Caenorhabditis elegans: one gene and its partners. The protein of the gene in region 1 purifies or fractionates together with the protein of each later gene. This does not show direct contact. Each region holds a gene or a part of one and is shown on either strand. Other genes may lie near its edges.

Region 1 (5,803 bases):
ATAAAACACGAAAAATCGCCCGAATTCAATTGGATATATCTTTTTGGATATATAATTGAATATATTGGATAGATATATTAATATTTTTATCAATTGATTGTCCCAGAGCAGTACACGACCGGGAATCAAGAAACTTATCTCTTAAGCATATGTCTGGAATTTGTTCTCAAATCATTTTTCTAATCTGCAAAATTGCAAAAATCTGCTCTTTTCCTCCGTAAAACACATTCATCGCCATCTGGAATTCATTGCCGTTCCGTTTCTTTTGTTGTTCTTCACATTTTTGTCCATTGTAATGTTCAGATAGCTGTGCCACAAATTAGAGATGTCTGAAGTGTAATGCCACGTCACTTTCAGAAATCTCCAGAATCTTTCGAAACTTGTTGGCTGACAAGTCGAAGGTACTTTTTTTTTTGAAATCGATCGAGGTGTTGTTGATCCGCGAGTTGAGCAGCTGTCCAGCTGTCGCGTCCAACCCACTCAAAATTGTTGTTTTCGTGAAATGGGAAAAAGTTTGGCCTCTATTTACTGCATAAACATTTTGAAACCTCGACAAACCAGCAAACAAATTGAAACATAAAATAGAAATACGAAATAAATATAATGACGGGGAGGGAGAGCAATGAACTAGAATGCAACAGACAACAATAAATAGAGGAAAGGAAGCGATATGAAAAACAGGAAATAGATTGAAAATTGGGGAAATTAATTGATTGCAGCAAGGGCAAATTTCTGGGCGAGTTCGACGGCAGCATCAAGTTTATCGACATTCTCTCCGGTGAGCTGAGCATTTGCGTCCTTTCCACCACCTTTTCCACCGAGAACTGTGCAAACTTCATTCACCCACTCGTTGGCTTTCAGGCCGTTGCTCACCAAGCTCTGAAAAAATTATATTATTTTTCTGAATTGTTTCAAAATTTCAAATTTCTCACCTTATCAACTTTAGCAAGACACAAAACTTTTCCAGAATCTTCATTCACAGAGAAAGCCATAACTGCTTTTGTGTCCTTGAGAAGTTTCAGAGCATTATCGATGGCTTTGCTGTTAGCATTGGCGGCGAAGACGTGAACGAGAACAGTAGGCTGCTCAGCGACAGCAGCAAGTTCCTTGGCTTCTCCAAGAACCTTTTCAGCGACAGCGGCTTGTTGTGCCTTTGTGTATCCATCCAAAGTCTTCTGAATGGCCTTTGCCTTTTCACGGATAGAATCCTTTCGCCAGTATGGCAGCTGAGCTCCGTTGGCTTCATCGACAATTTCTTGAATCTTCTTCTGGAGAGCCTTGAACTTATCCTTGTTGGCCAAGAGCTCATCCTTCTTATCGGCATGCTTCGATTCTTCTTCTAATCGAGCAGTCAGTCGATCGGCTCTGGCAATGGCTCTTTCAGCTTCTGGTCCTGTCAATGCAACGATACGACGGATTCCTTTAGCAATAGCTTCTTCCGATGCGATGACAATGCGGCCAATGTGAGACACGTTCTGGAGATGGCTGAAATTATAAAAATTATATCAAAATTTAACGGGTATCATCATAAAATATAAAAAGAATTAGTACTCACGTTCCTCCGCAGAACTCGACAGTCGTGTTCTGTCCCTCCTCTGCATCAGGATTCTGGAGAAGTTGCTCAACTGGAGTTCCGACAGCGACAACACGAACTGGATCTGGGTATGTTTCATCAAACATCGCACGAAGTCCCTTGACTTTTTTGGCTTCTCCAAGTGGCGAGTTCTTGGCGTAAACTTGTCCTTTTGTGTCAATCAGCTGTTGAGCGTATTCCTCGGCTTTCTTCACTTGCTGAACAGTCATTCCAGCTTTGTTGGTGAAGTCGAATCTCATACGATCTGGAGCAACGAGTGATCCCTTCTGATCCGAATCGGCGAGAACTTTGCGAAGAGCATAGTTGAGGACATGAGTTCCGGTGTGATTCTTCATGATCAGTTGCTTCCGGTCTTCATCGAATCGTTCGTTGACCTGATCACCGACTGAGAAGCTTCCTTCGGCGGATCCAACAAGCACGATGTATCCACCACGAACTTGGCAGTTGCTCACGTTGAACTCGTTCGACTCGTCATTGACTTTTGTCAAAACTCCGACGTCGTAGATCTGACCTCCCTGCTCGGCGTAGAAATTTGTCCGATCGAGAAGAATGGCTCCTTCTTCTCCGGCAGCAAGTTGATCGACAAACTTTCCGTCTCGGCGAATAGCAAGAATCTTTCCAACGCATGGCTCAAACTCTGAAGAAAAATAATTATTACAAGTTCATAAAAACAAACAAAAAACATACTGTACACAGCATCGGATCCTTCTCCAGTAAACGTGTAAGCGTACTTTGGCGAATCGTCGGTAGTTGGAACTCCCTTCTGTTGAAGCTCAGCCAATGCGTGAACATCCAAATCCAGCGTGTCACGGAACTTTCCAGTTCCAGCTGATGATGTCTCGATGGCTTTCCTGCGAGCCTCCTCGAAAGCAGTATTATCGACAGACAATCCTTTCTCTTCGGCCATCAGTTGAGTCAAGTCAGCTGGGAATCCATATGTATCGTAGAGTCTCCATGAAACATCTCCAGGGAACGTCATGGTTCCTTCTGGAAGCGATTGAACAGCGCGTTGGAAGAGAACACGTCCACGAGACAACGTTTTCAGGAATTGCTTCTCCTCGTCGTTGATGATATCCATGACGGTCACTGGATCACGGCTGAGTTCTGGGAAAGTCTCTCCGAGAATTGAAATAACCACTGGAACGAGTGATGCGAAGAATCCAGGCTGTGCATTCAACTTTTCGCTGGCATAACGAACTCCACGACGAAGAATTCGACGGAGCACATATCCTCTTCCAGAATTATCCGGACGGCCACCATCAGAGAGAGCAATGGTCAATGTTCTGACGTGATCAGCAACTACACGATATGCCATGTCCACTCCGTCTTTGTCTTCGTCACCAATGAAGCCAGTATAGGCACGAACGCCACTTCCTTTGTGAATCGCCTCGAAAATTGGTTGGAAAATGTCCGTATCGTAGTTGCTCGTCTTATCCTGCATCACAGCAATCAATCGTTCGAGTCCAAGACCACAATCGATGTGCTTCGCTGGCAATGGTTTCAGGACGCCTCCTTCCTCGCGATTGAATTGAATGAAGACAAGATTCCAGATTTCAACAACCATTGGATCATCGGCGTTGACAAGATGAGATGCGTCACGATTTCCAATGCGATCATAGTGAATCTCAGAGCATGGTCCACATGGTCCAACATCTCCCATCTCCCAGAAGTTATCCTTCATACCGAAGTTCAAAATGCGCTCGTCTGGCACTCCGACGGATCTCCAGATATCACGAGCTTCAGAGTCGGCGGGGACTCCGTTTGCCTCGTCGCCACCAAAAACCGACACATAAAGACGTTCCGCTGGGATTCCGTATACTGTTGTGAGAAGTTCCCAAGCCCATGTGATGATTTCTTTCTGAAAATTATTTTTTTAAAGAAATTTAATTAACTAAATCAATTTCTAACCTTGAAATAATCACCGAAAGACCAATTTCCAAGCATCTCGAAGTATGTGTGATGGTAGACATCTTTGCCGACATCGTCCAAGTCGTTATGCTTTCCACCGGCGCGAATGCACTTCTGCGTGTTCACGGCTCTTTTCAGCTTGGCAAGGTCGCTGTTTGGATCGGCGATTCCGAGGAACAACGGCTTGAACTGAAAATTTTAATTATTAATTGCAAGAAAAGCCGTTTGAATATTCTTACTTGGTTCATTCCCGCGTTGGCGAAAAGAAGAGTTGGGTCATCGTGCGGAATAACAGACGACGAATGTACATAAGTGTGCTCCTTCTTCTCTCGGAAAAAGTTGATGAAGGTAGAGCGGACCTCTGAGGCAGTCAGGTGCTTCATAGTAACCCAGGAGAGGTTGCTCTGAAAGAAAAAACTTTAAAATTGTTTTTGCTAACTTATAAACGACGAAAAATAGGGGAGGCGAGATTACGAGAGATTTCGCAATGAATCGAATTCGATTCGGTGCGAATTGGGTGCGAGAACGAGGAAGCTGAACAAAGAAAAATCGAAACAGTGCGCGGAAGAAAGCGGAAGCGCGGAAAAAGACAAGAATAGCGAATAAAATGAAGAATGAGTGCGGGAAACATTTCAGTGAGGTGGGCGGAGTCCAAACGCAAGCGCCGCACACTTTCTATGAAAACCGCGGGAAAACTTCATTTTCAAAATTTAATTTTTTGCGGTAGAAAATTTGGTCAATTTCTTTCATTTTTATCATCAAAATGAAATAGGAATGAACGCAAATCCATTTGTAAACGATTCGATTCATAAAAGACCCAGCACACATTGTTCTCTTTTCCATCTCTAAAATTTGTGTAGTCTCTCACTCGGTAAAACTTGTCAACACCGCATTCAATATGTTTTTCTGTGGAGCAATAAATTGATTTTCATTTGAAAAAAAAACAACTGGATAGATAATAAGATAGTGCCGAACATGATAATTTTAAGAAAATTGGGAAATTACAAAAAAACCCGAAAAAAGTGTTAAATCTGAAAAACTGATATATCTGTGAACCTTTAGTTTTAGAATTACGTGGAATAGATTTTTAGTACAGGAACACAAAATTCTGAGAATGCGTATTGAGCAGCATTTTGCGAGCAAAATATCTCGTAGCGAAAACTACAGTAATTATGTAAATGACTACTGTGGTGTCGATTTACGGGCTCGTTTTTCGAAAACAATTAAAATAATTGATTAATCGATATAATACTAATAGTAAGCGAAAAATGAGAAAATAATACGAAGAACCGAAGGAAAATGGAATATCACTGTCGCTCTTCAGAAATAAAATCTCTTGTCTTGTCAGATCGATAAATTCAAGCTGGTCATTGAGTTGCTCTTTTTCTCCGAAAGACTCACTCTAATCTTTGATTGAAAATCGTTGTATTTTTTTTTAATTTTACATTTATTTAAACTTTCTTCATTTTCTCAACTGGATATTAATTTAGTTGTATAGCATAACTTTAAACCAAGTACGCAACATTACAGAATTTTTTCTAGAATGTCCGTCAAATTATTCTCTCTACCAAGTGTGGTTCATTCACAATTGCTCAAGGAAATGAATGAACCAGACGTTTTCATTTTATCTCTTTGTTCGAAAAAATCTGCATCGGTCGTTCGAAAGCGAATCCTGGAGGTGCCTTCTATAGAACATACGTTCACGAGAACAGATTCTTTTCATATGCATGGTTTGAATGTAGAGAGCAAGAAATATAGACTTCAGCTACTATTTACAAGTGATCCATCGCCAAAAAAATTGATCTTTATACTGAAGACAAAGCTACTTCTTATTGGGTTATTCAAGTAATTTTAGAAACGAAGAATCAATTAAGAAGAAGTACAAAATATTGTGAGGTTTATTTTAAACCATTTACAAACTTATTTACAATTTACCAATAACTTATATATATATATACCAGCCGTTCGCACGCGCTGAAGCGCGTGCTCCGACTGGCGTACTCAAAATTGAAATCAAATTCTAAATTTTCTAAGCCTTCTTTGCAGATGGAACGTTTTTTCCCTGATTACCGGAAATTTTCGAGCAACATAAATATTATATAACTAAGTTCTGAGCAATTACAACTTAAAACCTCAAGTTTCCTGGAACTATTTCTAAATTTCTTGAACGTATAATTTTCTCTATGTTCTTCAAATCATATGAAACATTTTCCGGTCCTTTCCGAAAGTTTTTGGCGAGCGTTTCTGAAAATTATAACAATTTTTGATATTTTTTTAAAATTATTGAAACTTGAGAATATT
Region 2 (4,007 bases), on another chromosome or scaffold:
AATGGTCTTGATCATGACAATGAACATTTGGAAATGGCTAAAAATATTGGAAATGTTTGTCATAAAATGTATGAAAATCCAACAGGACTTGGACCAGAAATAATACATTTCAATATGGAGGATAGTTCTGATATGACACAAGCGGATACTTATGTGAAGAATCTTGATGCTCATTCACTTCTCCGTCCAGAAGCAATTGAAGCGTGGTTCTATTTGTATCGTGTTACTAAAGATAAGAAATATCAAGAGTGGGGATGGAAAGCTTTTGAGTCGATTGAAAAGTATGCAAAAGTGGAAACTGGTGGATACAGCTCAATTGACAATGTGCTCAGAAAGAAGATCAAAAGGTTTGTCAGCATTTTGTTTAATTTTTAATCATTCAAATTCAGACGTGACAAAATGGAATCATTCTTCCTTGCTGAGACCCTCAAATACCTTTACCTTCTAATGGCTGATGATCAAGAAATCCTTCCACTCGATCGATGGGTTCTCAACACTGAAGCCCACCCACTTCCAATTTACAATTGACTGATGCTGTATTTTTCACTTTTTGACGGGTTTTTAGAATTTATTTTTACCAAAAACAAAACGTTTGTCTAACAAATAAACTATAACACATGTATCTATTGCATTCTGATCAATCTTCCATGAATTTCTTCATTAACTGGCCAATACTGCGTCTTTCCAACAACTGCTGCAGAGACCTGTCCTTCAAGGAATACACGTCGGCAAACATCTCGGAGCTGCTGGACTGTGATTGATTCGATTCGGGCATGTAATTCTGGAGTTGGTATCCGACGACCGTAGCAAAGGAGTTGTCGACCAATATCTTCACAGACTGGAGTTGAGCCATCGAGCATTAGGAGTAGATTCGTATGCAGGGAGCGCTTGGCACGATCAACCGCTGCTTCATCAATGTCTGGAAATGAAAGATGTTGACTCAGGACTATGTTAAATAAAAACTCACTGTTCGCAAGCCAAACCCATTGTTGAAGAACTGAATCAATAAGATTGTCGATGGATTCCGGAGCAGCTACGAAATAAGTTCCAACTAATCCTGTCTCCTGAATTACAGAAATATGTAAAAAGAGTTTTTTTTCCCAGGAATTCATTACTTTATAGCACGTGTTAAATGATTGGAAAACCTCAATTCCTGCGTCTTGTGACAATTTTTCAGCCAAGCGAGTTGGAGCATTCACGCCGAATCCACGCATACGATCGTATTCACCCATTAGCTGGAATGATGAACTATCAACTTCTAAGTTATAAAAATATTTTTTAAAAAAGTACCGTATTAGCCACCATAAGGGCAAGATTATCTTCATGGGTCCAAGATACTCCTTCGACAACCATCGCTCCGTACAACATTGGAAGATCTGGAATGTCACCTCGAACCTGAAATGTAAACATTTAAAAATATATTTTGTTAATTCTATTTAATATTTGCTGATAGCGAATTTATTCAAACAAAAACTGACTTCACAGGGACTGTAAGTGGCTGGGACGAATTCAGTTGAAGAATCTCCATGCTTGAGCTCTCCGAAATATTTTTCTGCCATTTTAACAATCGCATCATGATTGACACCTCCGGCTGCTGCTAATACCATTCTGCCACTTCGATAATGTGTATTAATATATCCTTGAAGATCATTCTTATTGATTGTTTGAATTAATTCAATTGGACCAAGAATTGTATAGGAAAGAGGATTTCCTTTGAAAACATCAGCATGAAGAATATCAAATACAACTTCTTGAAAGTTTTGTGCAACTTCTTCCATTTCTCGAATAATTACACCACGTTCTGCTTCGATATCTTTAGTGGCAAGACTGCTGTTCAGAAGAATATCCGAAAGAATATCGACGGCTGCAATTCGGAATAGATATTTTAAAAATTGCATTAATAATTTTATTTCTTACATTGGTCAAGCTTTTCTGTAAAACATTTAGCATAATACGTCGTGCTTTCTCTAGAAGTGTACGCATTTAGATGAGCTCCAATATTTTCAACTTCAAGCTCCAATCCCATTCGAGTCCGGCGAGGCGTTCCCTGAAAAATTCGGATTTTTATATGAAATTCAAAATTTTCTAAAAATTAAATTAAACTAACTTTGAACGCCATATGCTCTAGAAAATGAGCTGTTCCATTGTTTTTCTCATTCTCGTAGCGACTGCCGGCATCAATAAATACTCCGATCTAATAAAAATAGCTTTGAACAAACAAATAATTTAGGAAAAATAATTACAGTAGCAGTAGATCCACCTGTGTTTTCTGTTGCAACTCTGAACCCATTCGGAAGTGTCGTTACAATTGTTTCTGGGACAAATACTGATTTCGGCTGAACTTGTGCGATTCTTCTTTGGGAAGTCTGAAAAATAAATTACTTTCACTGTAAACAAAATTGTTTAAATTACCTGATATAAGCCGGAGGCTAGTCTTCTGTACATTTATCTGAAAAAAATTTATATGCTCTATTTTCAAGGAAACAATGGTTACGCAATAGTGAAGCTCAATTTGTCGGCTAAACACAAACAAATCTACGTAATACTGGAATAAAAATCTTTTTGCTGACATTGATACAACAAAACGATTAGAGTAACGAATTAAACAAAAATTGAACAGAATTGCAGAAAATGCTTCTAAAAAAGTGAAATTAACTTTGTCCACGAGGTGTACGTAGCGAATGGAAGAACTTTCACAAACGCGGCCGCCGCGGGCAAAAAGGCGGAAGTTTGAATAAAAGATTTTGAACAATTGCACGCGGTATTTCATAACTTCGGAATTTCCAATTAATTTTTCAGATTATGCAGACATATAAAATTTCGAACCAAATAAAAAACATCAAGGGGCTCTCGTTTAGAGCTTGTATTTTTGGAAAACGATGTCCAGGGAAACGGTAATTTTGGAAATGTCCTTTCGGGGATTATTTATAATCGCGCACAAACAGGAGTGGGTATCTAGCGATCCTTATTCATGATTACAAGAGAACAAAAGAGCATATCGTGTTTTTTTAATATCTAGAGCCAAATGTTCATAATAAGTTCTGATCATTTCATAATGAATCAATTTCTAGAAATTAAAAAAAAAAACGATATAATCTGAAAACTCTTACTACCACAGTACAACTACAGTAACCCAACAGTATCTCTCCATGAACTCCAACTCAGTATCCCATCAAAAGAAAACAACTGAAATTTACTAGAACTACTTGAGAACAAACTAAAACTGTGACCTATGCATTTTTAAAAAATATTCATACATTTGTTCATATCTAGAATATATGTACTATGAAAATTAATTTTTAATTCGTATGTAGTAAAAAATCATTAGTAAAGGATACAATCCTTGTCATTGTAGTAAAAATGTCCACCGTAACAAAAGATACAAACTGTAGCAAAAGATCGAAATGGGATAACGGAGTAAAAAATACGGTTGTAGCAAAAGAGTAAAACGTCGTAAAAGATCTATGTATGCAAATCATAGTAAAAGAGATCACGTAGTAAGAGATCAAGTAGTAAAACAGTATTTGCCCTTGTTTTATTGACGATCATGATAAAACAATAAAATTTGAACATAATAAAACACTTTCACACAAATATTTAGCTAGTATTGAAAATTAAGCATTTCATGAAGCATTGAATCACAGTTGAGAACATTGAAAACTGTGAGCATCACGTAAGAAGTTGTGAGTTTTTGAGCAGATTCCTGTAATATCCTTTGTTTGCTGGATAGCTGTTATACAAAAATAAACAAACCCTGAGATAATTCATACTCATCAGAAGTTCTCCAACACGATGCTCTCCGCCTCCACCTGGTGAATGACACATTTTTGATAGAAAGCCAATTATGATATTCCTTTGTCTACGACATTTTTCACGGCCATTTTCAGTTAGCTTGAAGTATGCTGAAATTATTGAAGGATTAATTTGAAAGTTGAATACATTTTTTTAAAAAGATTATGAACTTATGTATATCGTATTTGAATTTTTATTTAAAACAAATCTAAATG
Region 3 (6,087 bases), on another chromosome or scaffold:
TTTTTTTATTTTGGTATCTGGTTTCAATTTTAAAAACATGGTTTTTTTAAAAATAAATATTATTAATAAGTTCTCTGCAACAAAACAATATAATAGCAAACAACCCTTTTCAGATAAAACGTATTGCTATTTTTCCTGAAAGTTCAGTTTGAAAAAGCGTTTAATTTGTTTGACTCTCTGTTGAATTTCCTATTTTATATATGCTTATTTTTTCTCGAATAAATAAGTATGGCGTCAAAAAATTCGTTTAAATCAAAAACCAATTTTTATCATCATGTCGACGAAATAGCTTGGCTTGGGGACACACAAGGTCTAACAAATAAGAATGAAGCTCATAACAGCGCAAAAAACAAGCCGTTTTGCTTCACTTTGCCGGCTTATGTCACAGGGCTTAGGCTTAGGATTTTTTTTGGTTTAGCCTTAGGCTCATTTTTAGGCTTAGTCTTAGGCACTTAGGCATTATTTCCAGTTATTCGCTTTCCTGAAAATTGTTAAAAATCTACTTGAAAATCCGGGTTGTTAGGTGACTACAAAAAAGGTTTAAAAAATTGGAAATCCAATCAATAAATTCTTTATTCGCAAAAATCGAGGAAAATCAATTGCCGTGGATAATGAAGTGTGCAACTTTTGTGACTGTTCCCTGGAATAATAAAATATTTTTACACGGTTATGGTGTTTGCAAGGCACCAAAATTGCGCAAACAAGTTTTCTATTGCATGGGGAGCACGCTCAAAAAATTTCAGAGCTCTGTGTCTACTAAGAGCAAAGTTAGGGTAACTGCAAGTTTTGACATGCGTCGTGTGTCGCTAGGACTTTCAAACCACCTTAACTTTGCTCAAAATGTGGCTACAGCTCTGAAATTTTCTGTGGTTCATTTTTTTCATCTAATTTGATGTTCTGAATTAAAACGCTAAAGTTTCAAAAATTTCATGAGTTTCGTGTCGCGTCGCGGTCCAGCCATGAAATTTCACACAGAAACTTAAAAGTACGTACTCCTGGATTCGAAGCTTTGACACGACGCTGTCTCATCTGACAATTGAAATCCTTGACGTCATCATCGATTTCTTGAAGCTTCTTCTGCAAAAAAATCAATATTTATTTTCCATATTAGGCAATCACTCACCAAATGAGCGGCGCTCTGTGGATACACGGCTTCCGTCACAAATTGCAAACGTTCCATGTTTTCACAGGCCATCGATAGATGTGCGGCAACTCGTTCTGCACACTTTTCCGCTTCAATTGTGCCGTAAAACGCCGGATTTTGAGCAAGGATGACGTCATCGAGTTCCACGTCATCATCATCTTCAACTGGAACATTCACGTTCAGGTCGTCAATATCATCGTCTTTTGGAACTCGGTTAGCAGAGAAACTATCGATTTTCACCTCATCATTTCGACAATTTGATATGCGAATTTTTTGGTAGGATTTCGGTTGGAGGTGGCTGAAACTAGGAAAATTAGGGCTTCAAATTTAATGATCAAGAATTGCGTCATGGCACGAAAAATACGCCAAGGAGCAATGATGACGTCATCATATTAACAATTACATTGGGAGCGTTCACAAAAAATTTTGAAAGTCTTCGAACAGTGCGAGCAAAGTTACAGTGGTTCAAAACTTTAGTCTGCGTCGCGGTTTTTCTCAATACTTCAAATCTACGTAACTGTTCAAAATCTACGTAACTGTTCAAAATTGTTCAAAATGCTCGTAGAGCTGTGTATTGATTTCTCTGTATTGATTTCTGATGTATGTATGTATACTACTGTTAACGCCTTAACGCAAAACTCGTGCCTTGGCGCGTTTCTAGTGCAAACTCACCACACATCCTGAATGACTTGAGTCGCCGCTTCATTGATAGTCACATGTCTTTTGGTGGTTTTTGTGACTTTTTGCTTTGTCTCGGGCAGTTTTTTCAGTTTCAGGCGGTGTTGGTAGGCGTCGAAGGCGTCGGATGCCGTGCGGTTGTTGTACTGAAAATTTTTTGAATTGAATGTACGTAATAATACACAGCTAGCCACACAAAAAATTTCAAATCAATCCACTGGGAGCAAAGTTACAACTAGTCAAAGCAAACAACCTGCGACGCGGTCGATTAATCTTATAAGAAACTTCAAGGCCTGGTAACACTGCTCAAAATAGTCTTATCGAACTGAAATTTCAGGTATGTCTTTCTGATAGGATGTCCAACAAGCCAACAAAATGATAGAGCCTTGGCGCAATTCTCGACCCACCTTTCTCTTATCAAATGGCTGATAAATCCACGTGGCAAGTGCCTTTGGTTGCTCCGCCGCTGCACGATCCCAGTTCGTGACATATACATTCCTTTTCTTCGGTTTTTCCACAATTTTTTGCTGAAAATAAAAATATATATTGATTTATTGATTTTTAGTCCAAAAAATCAAAAAATCAATACATTTCCGGTCGGAATCTGACGATAGATAGTTGTTAAAAATGGCATTTTGTACAGCGATCAAATTTTGAAATGATTTTTTTCCAATATTCTCACCTTGAGGGGACATTTGACACGTGGCGACACTACGGTGATTTGTTCACGTGAAAATTCCAAAATTGACAGTGATGAGGTGGTGGAGCCGGTGGTGCCGTCTGCATAAAATCGATAATCAAAAAAAAGAACGTGAAAAAATATCGCTTTTTACTTAAAATCAAAAATATTTTCGAAGTATTGATTTTTAGGAATTACAGGGTGGGCCAAAAGTATGGTAACACGTTTGCAGCTCTATAACTTTACTAGTGGAGAGAGTTATTACATCAATTTGTACAAGTTTTGTTCTCCATAAAATACTGACCAGATGAACGTTTTGAATTTTCAAAATATATCCATCCGCATTGCTGCAGGCCTTCAGAACTTTTGAGATCACGATCTTTATGGCACGCAAGTCGGCATTCTGCGGGATTTCTACATTTTTCTTGAGGAATCCATAAAGTGTCTTACAAGTTTTTATAGTTCAAAGAATGCCCTTGGTCTAGAGATTCTTTAAAAACAAAAATCAAAATATTTTCTATCACGGTATTTCTGTCATGGACTGCGGCAGTAGGTTAAGTCTTGAATGGCATAGTCGCCAGAAAGATGGATGTGAGCGGCGAGTAGCAGTATTCAGATAAATTTATTTTAGTATTTTTCGAGACGTTTTGACCTGACTTTCCAGAATTTTTTTAGAAAATTGAGCTCGGATGATTTTGTGGGTCGTTACGCCTTGCGAAACCAAAAAAACTGAGTAAATTTCGCAAAGTTGAATTCATGAAATATACAAAGGTTCTTGCTAGGCGCCAGTGTCGACACAGAACATTTTTATATGCTACAAAAACAATTAAAAACGCTTCTTCACTTCTTTAACTTTCAATTTAACATAAAAATCATACATCTGAAAATTATTGGCGTGCGTGGGAGGTGTGTTTGTGTGGGAAGTGCCGCGTGCCAAATTACCGTTTTTTCGAAAGGGTTCGCCAAATTGTCGAGGTGATAAAGATCGCACCTTATTGGGAAACATTACAAATTTTGAGTCAAATTGAAGGAAATTTATTCAGCTATCAGTATTCGATAGAAGAATGTACGTATGACGTGGCAGTCGCGCGAAAAGCTCATGTAAAAGAGCGCTTCATGTGTTACCATACTTTTGGCCCACCCTGTATGCTATTTTTACCAACAAAAAAATCAATAATTCGAAAATTTTAATTTTAACTCTTTTCTGGAACAAAAATCGATAATTACACGTAGGTGAAAATTTTTGTGTAAAATATAGATTTTACGGAAAAATCGATATTTTCTAAATTTTCAAAATATTTATTTTTGAGAAATTATCGATTTTTGAACAGAAACAACAAAAACTATCAGTTTTTCCCGACTCTCAAACTCACAGCAGACGTAATACGGATTACGACGAGTGCCGGCGGTACAGACGTTGTCCCAGATGTGAGAATTTTTCTGAAAAATATACGGTATCGTGAATTGCGCAAGCAAATGCTGGCGCATTTCTCGTGCACCTCACCTTTGATTGTCTGCAGTTCATTGGAGTAATGTGAATAAGCGGCGAGTAATAAATGTGGTATTGACGAGTATAAAAGTGAGAAATAATTGAAATTTATCGATTTTATCAATCTCACGGATTATCGATTATTGTTGAGAATAACAAAATTCGAAAAGGCCACGTGAAGATTTAATTTCAAAAACAGTTTTATTTAAAAAAATATATCGATAATTATTACATTTTCTTTCTTTTTTTCAAATTGAGATCATGACAATACAAAAATCAATAAATTAATGAGAAAAAATCTATAAGACTCCCGAGTAGAAACCATTTTCCACGACATTAGATTTCAGAGTTACATACTTTCCATCTTCCTGTAAAAATCGATAAATTTTGAATGATCGGTAATCTGCCATTTTCAATTTTTGACAAATCGATAATGTGAAGTTTTAATTTTTTTTTTTTGAAAAGTCGATAATATGAAATTTTAATTTTTGAAAAATTGATAATTTTTTATTAATTTCCGGAAAATCCATCATTTGAAATTTTTCATTTACGAAAAACATTATTTTTTATTCACAAAAGCCAAGAAATCAATTGTCGTGGATAATAAAGTGTGCAACTTTTGTGGCAGTTCCCTAGGTTAATGAAATATTTTAACGCGACTTTGGTGTTTGCACGAGAATAGAGCCAAGACACCAAATTTGAGTCAGATATCATGATAACCAATATGGCTTAATGCTACGAAAATAACTTAAATTATCTTCTAAAAATCTCGGAATTAAGCATTGTTGGTGCAAGACTAATAGAAATAATACGGTATATGTTTTTTAATCTACAGTTGGTCAAATATTTCATTGCGAGGTCAATCTGGGTTGTGATGGTTTAACGTCGAATTGTAACTTTTTTGCTGCCATCCCATCAAATTGAACAAAAAACTTACAGCTTTTTATAATATAGAAACAATTTTGGATGCTATCATGTCATAAATATTATAGTTCTATATTTATCAGTCGGCTTCTATGTAAGAAGCATTTAGAATTTCTTCGTCATTGTGAACAATAGATGATTATTGTCAGCTTTTAATTATTATTTTTGCAATTGGACAAATTTCAAACACATTTTCAGTACATCTACAAAAATTGACAACGGTGAAGTAAACTACGATGTCGCATTGGTTTATTAAATTTCAAAATGATGACTAGAAATGCGAACAGTCATCAAATTACATGGATTTTCACAATATTTGGATTCTCTTCATCAACTTGAACTTCAGCTTCTGACAATGAAATTTCTGATAAAGTATTATTCACCGATTGAACATCTGAGGGTATTGTTATTTCCTCATTTGATACTGGAGAGCATGCAGGTGCGGCTGGTGTCGTTTTTGATGGGTCGGATGTTGAACCATCCTTCAAATCTTTTGCCTTTTGTCTTGAATTCGTTAATATTTTTTTGATAGCTATTGAAATGTGCCCATCCTTGTTGAGGTATAGGAAAATGAGAAAAAGAGCAATTAACATGAAGCCGAAACCAATGATGAAATCAAAAACTGCCATGTTTGAAGTTCTGGAATTCTTTGAAGTAGAAATCATTTGTATCCTATATGTTTTTGAATTGGAAAAAACTTACAGCTTCTGAAAATATAGAATCAATTTTAAATGTCATTTTTGTCATAAATATAATAGCTTTTGTACTTTTCAGACGGCTGCTTCTAGGTGTTAAGAATTCCGAAGTTTTTTTTGTTATCGCAAACAATTGATGATGATTTATTTTGGAAATGTGACTAATAATATTTAATTGTGAAACTTTTTCGTTATTATTTTCCCGATGAAACAAATTATTTGGCGAGAAAAACATTGGTTTCAATTTTTTTTTCGTACTTTTGAGGGCTACCTGCAAGTGAAAAAATTCTTTAATTGTTTCGTAGGTGCATTGCTTCATTGTGATGTGGGGAACGTTACTGAGAATGTGAAAAAAAAGAAAAGAATGCTGCATGCATCAGGGTTGTGCGGCAAATTTGCCGAGCTCGGCAAATTTCGAAATTACAGAATTCAGTAGTTTTGTTGCTCCAAGGAACATCAAAAAATATCAAATTTTTGG

The links.
Region 2: the proteins of aars-2 (region 1) and mppb-1 fractionate together in Caenorhabditis elegans (co-fractionation; one large-scale study listed by BioGRID). This does not show direct contact.
Region 3: the proteins of aars-2 (region 1) and C30G7.3 fractionate together in Caenorhabditis elegans (co-fractionation; one large-scale study listed by BioGRID). This does not show direct contact.

What each region holds. Positions count from the first base shown.
Region 1 is NC_003279.8:3,981,287-3,987,089, reverse strand, and holds aars-2 (Alanine--tRNA ligase, cytoplasmic), read right to left. Parts: upstream 3,908-5,803; 5' UTR 3,886-3,907; coding exon 3,742-3,885; intron 3,692-3,741; coding exon 3,503-3,691; intron 3,453-3,502; coding exon 2,282-3,452; intron 2,232-2,281; coding exon 1,556-2,231; intron 1,486-1,555; coding exon 933-1,485; intron 880-932; coding exon 706-879; 3' UTR 509-705; downstream 1-508. UniProt on the Caenorhabditis elegans protein: Catalyzes the attachment of alanine to tRNA(Ala) in a two-step reaction: alanine is first activated by ATP to form Ala-AMP and then transferred to the acceptor end of tRNA(Ala). Also edits incorrectly charged tRNA(Ala) via its editing domain.
Region 2 is NC_003282.8:9,073,115-9,077,121, reverse strand, and holds mppb-1 (Mitochondrial-processing peptidase subunit beta), read right to left. Parts: upstream 2,450-4,007; 5' UTR 2,446-2,449; coding exon 2,413-2,445; intron 2,367-2,412; coding exon 2,244-2,366; intron 2,195-2,243; coding exon 2,108-2,194; intron 2,048-2,107; coding exon 1,918-2,047; intron 1,865-1,917; coding exon 1,479-1,864; intron 1,396-1,478; coding exon 1,291-1,395; intron 1,236-1,290; coding exon 1,116-1,235; intron 1,065-1,115; coding exon 968-1,064; intron 920-967; coding exon 624-919; 3' UTR 551-623; downstream 1-550. Other genes in the region: mans-4 (alpha-1,2-Mannosidase), read left to right, coding at 1-347, 390-528; Nuclear hormone receptor family member nhr-11, read right to left, coding at 3,602-3,703, 3,754-3,902. UniProt on the Caenorhabditis elegans protein: Catalytic subunit of the essential mitochondrial processing protease (MPP), which cleaves the mitochondrial sequence off newly imported precursors proteins. Preferentially, cleaves after an arginine at position P2.
Region 3 is NC_003283.11:14,941,580-14,947,666, forward strand, and holds C30G7.3 (MADF domain-containing protein), read right to left. Parts: upstream 4,126-6,087; 5' UTR 4,027-4,125; coding exon 4,006-4,026; intron 3,942-4,005; coding exon 3,875-3,941; intron 2,603-3,874; coding exon 2,505-2,602; intron 2,350-2,504; coding exon 2,230-2,349; intron 1,969-2,229; coding exon 1,817-1,968; intron 1,443-1,816; coding exon 1,124-1,442; intron 1,078-1,123; coding exon 994-1,077; intron 641-993; coding exon 596-640; 3' UTR 551-595; downstream 1-550. Other genes in the region: C30G7.4 (Matrix-remodeling-associated protein 7), read right to left, coding at 5,205-5,543.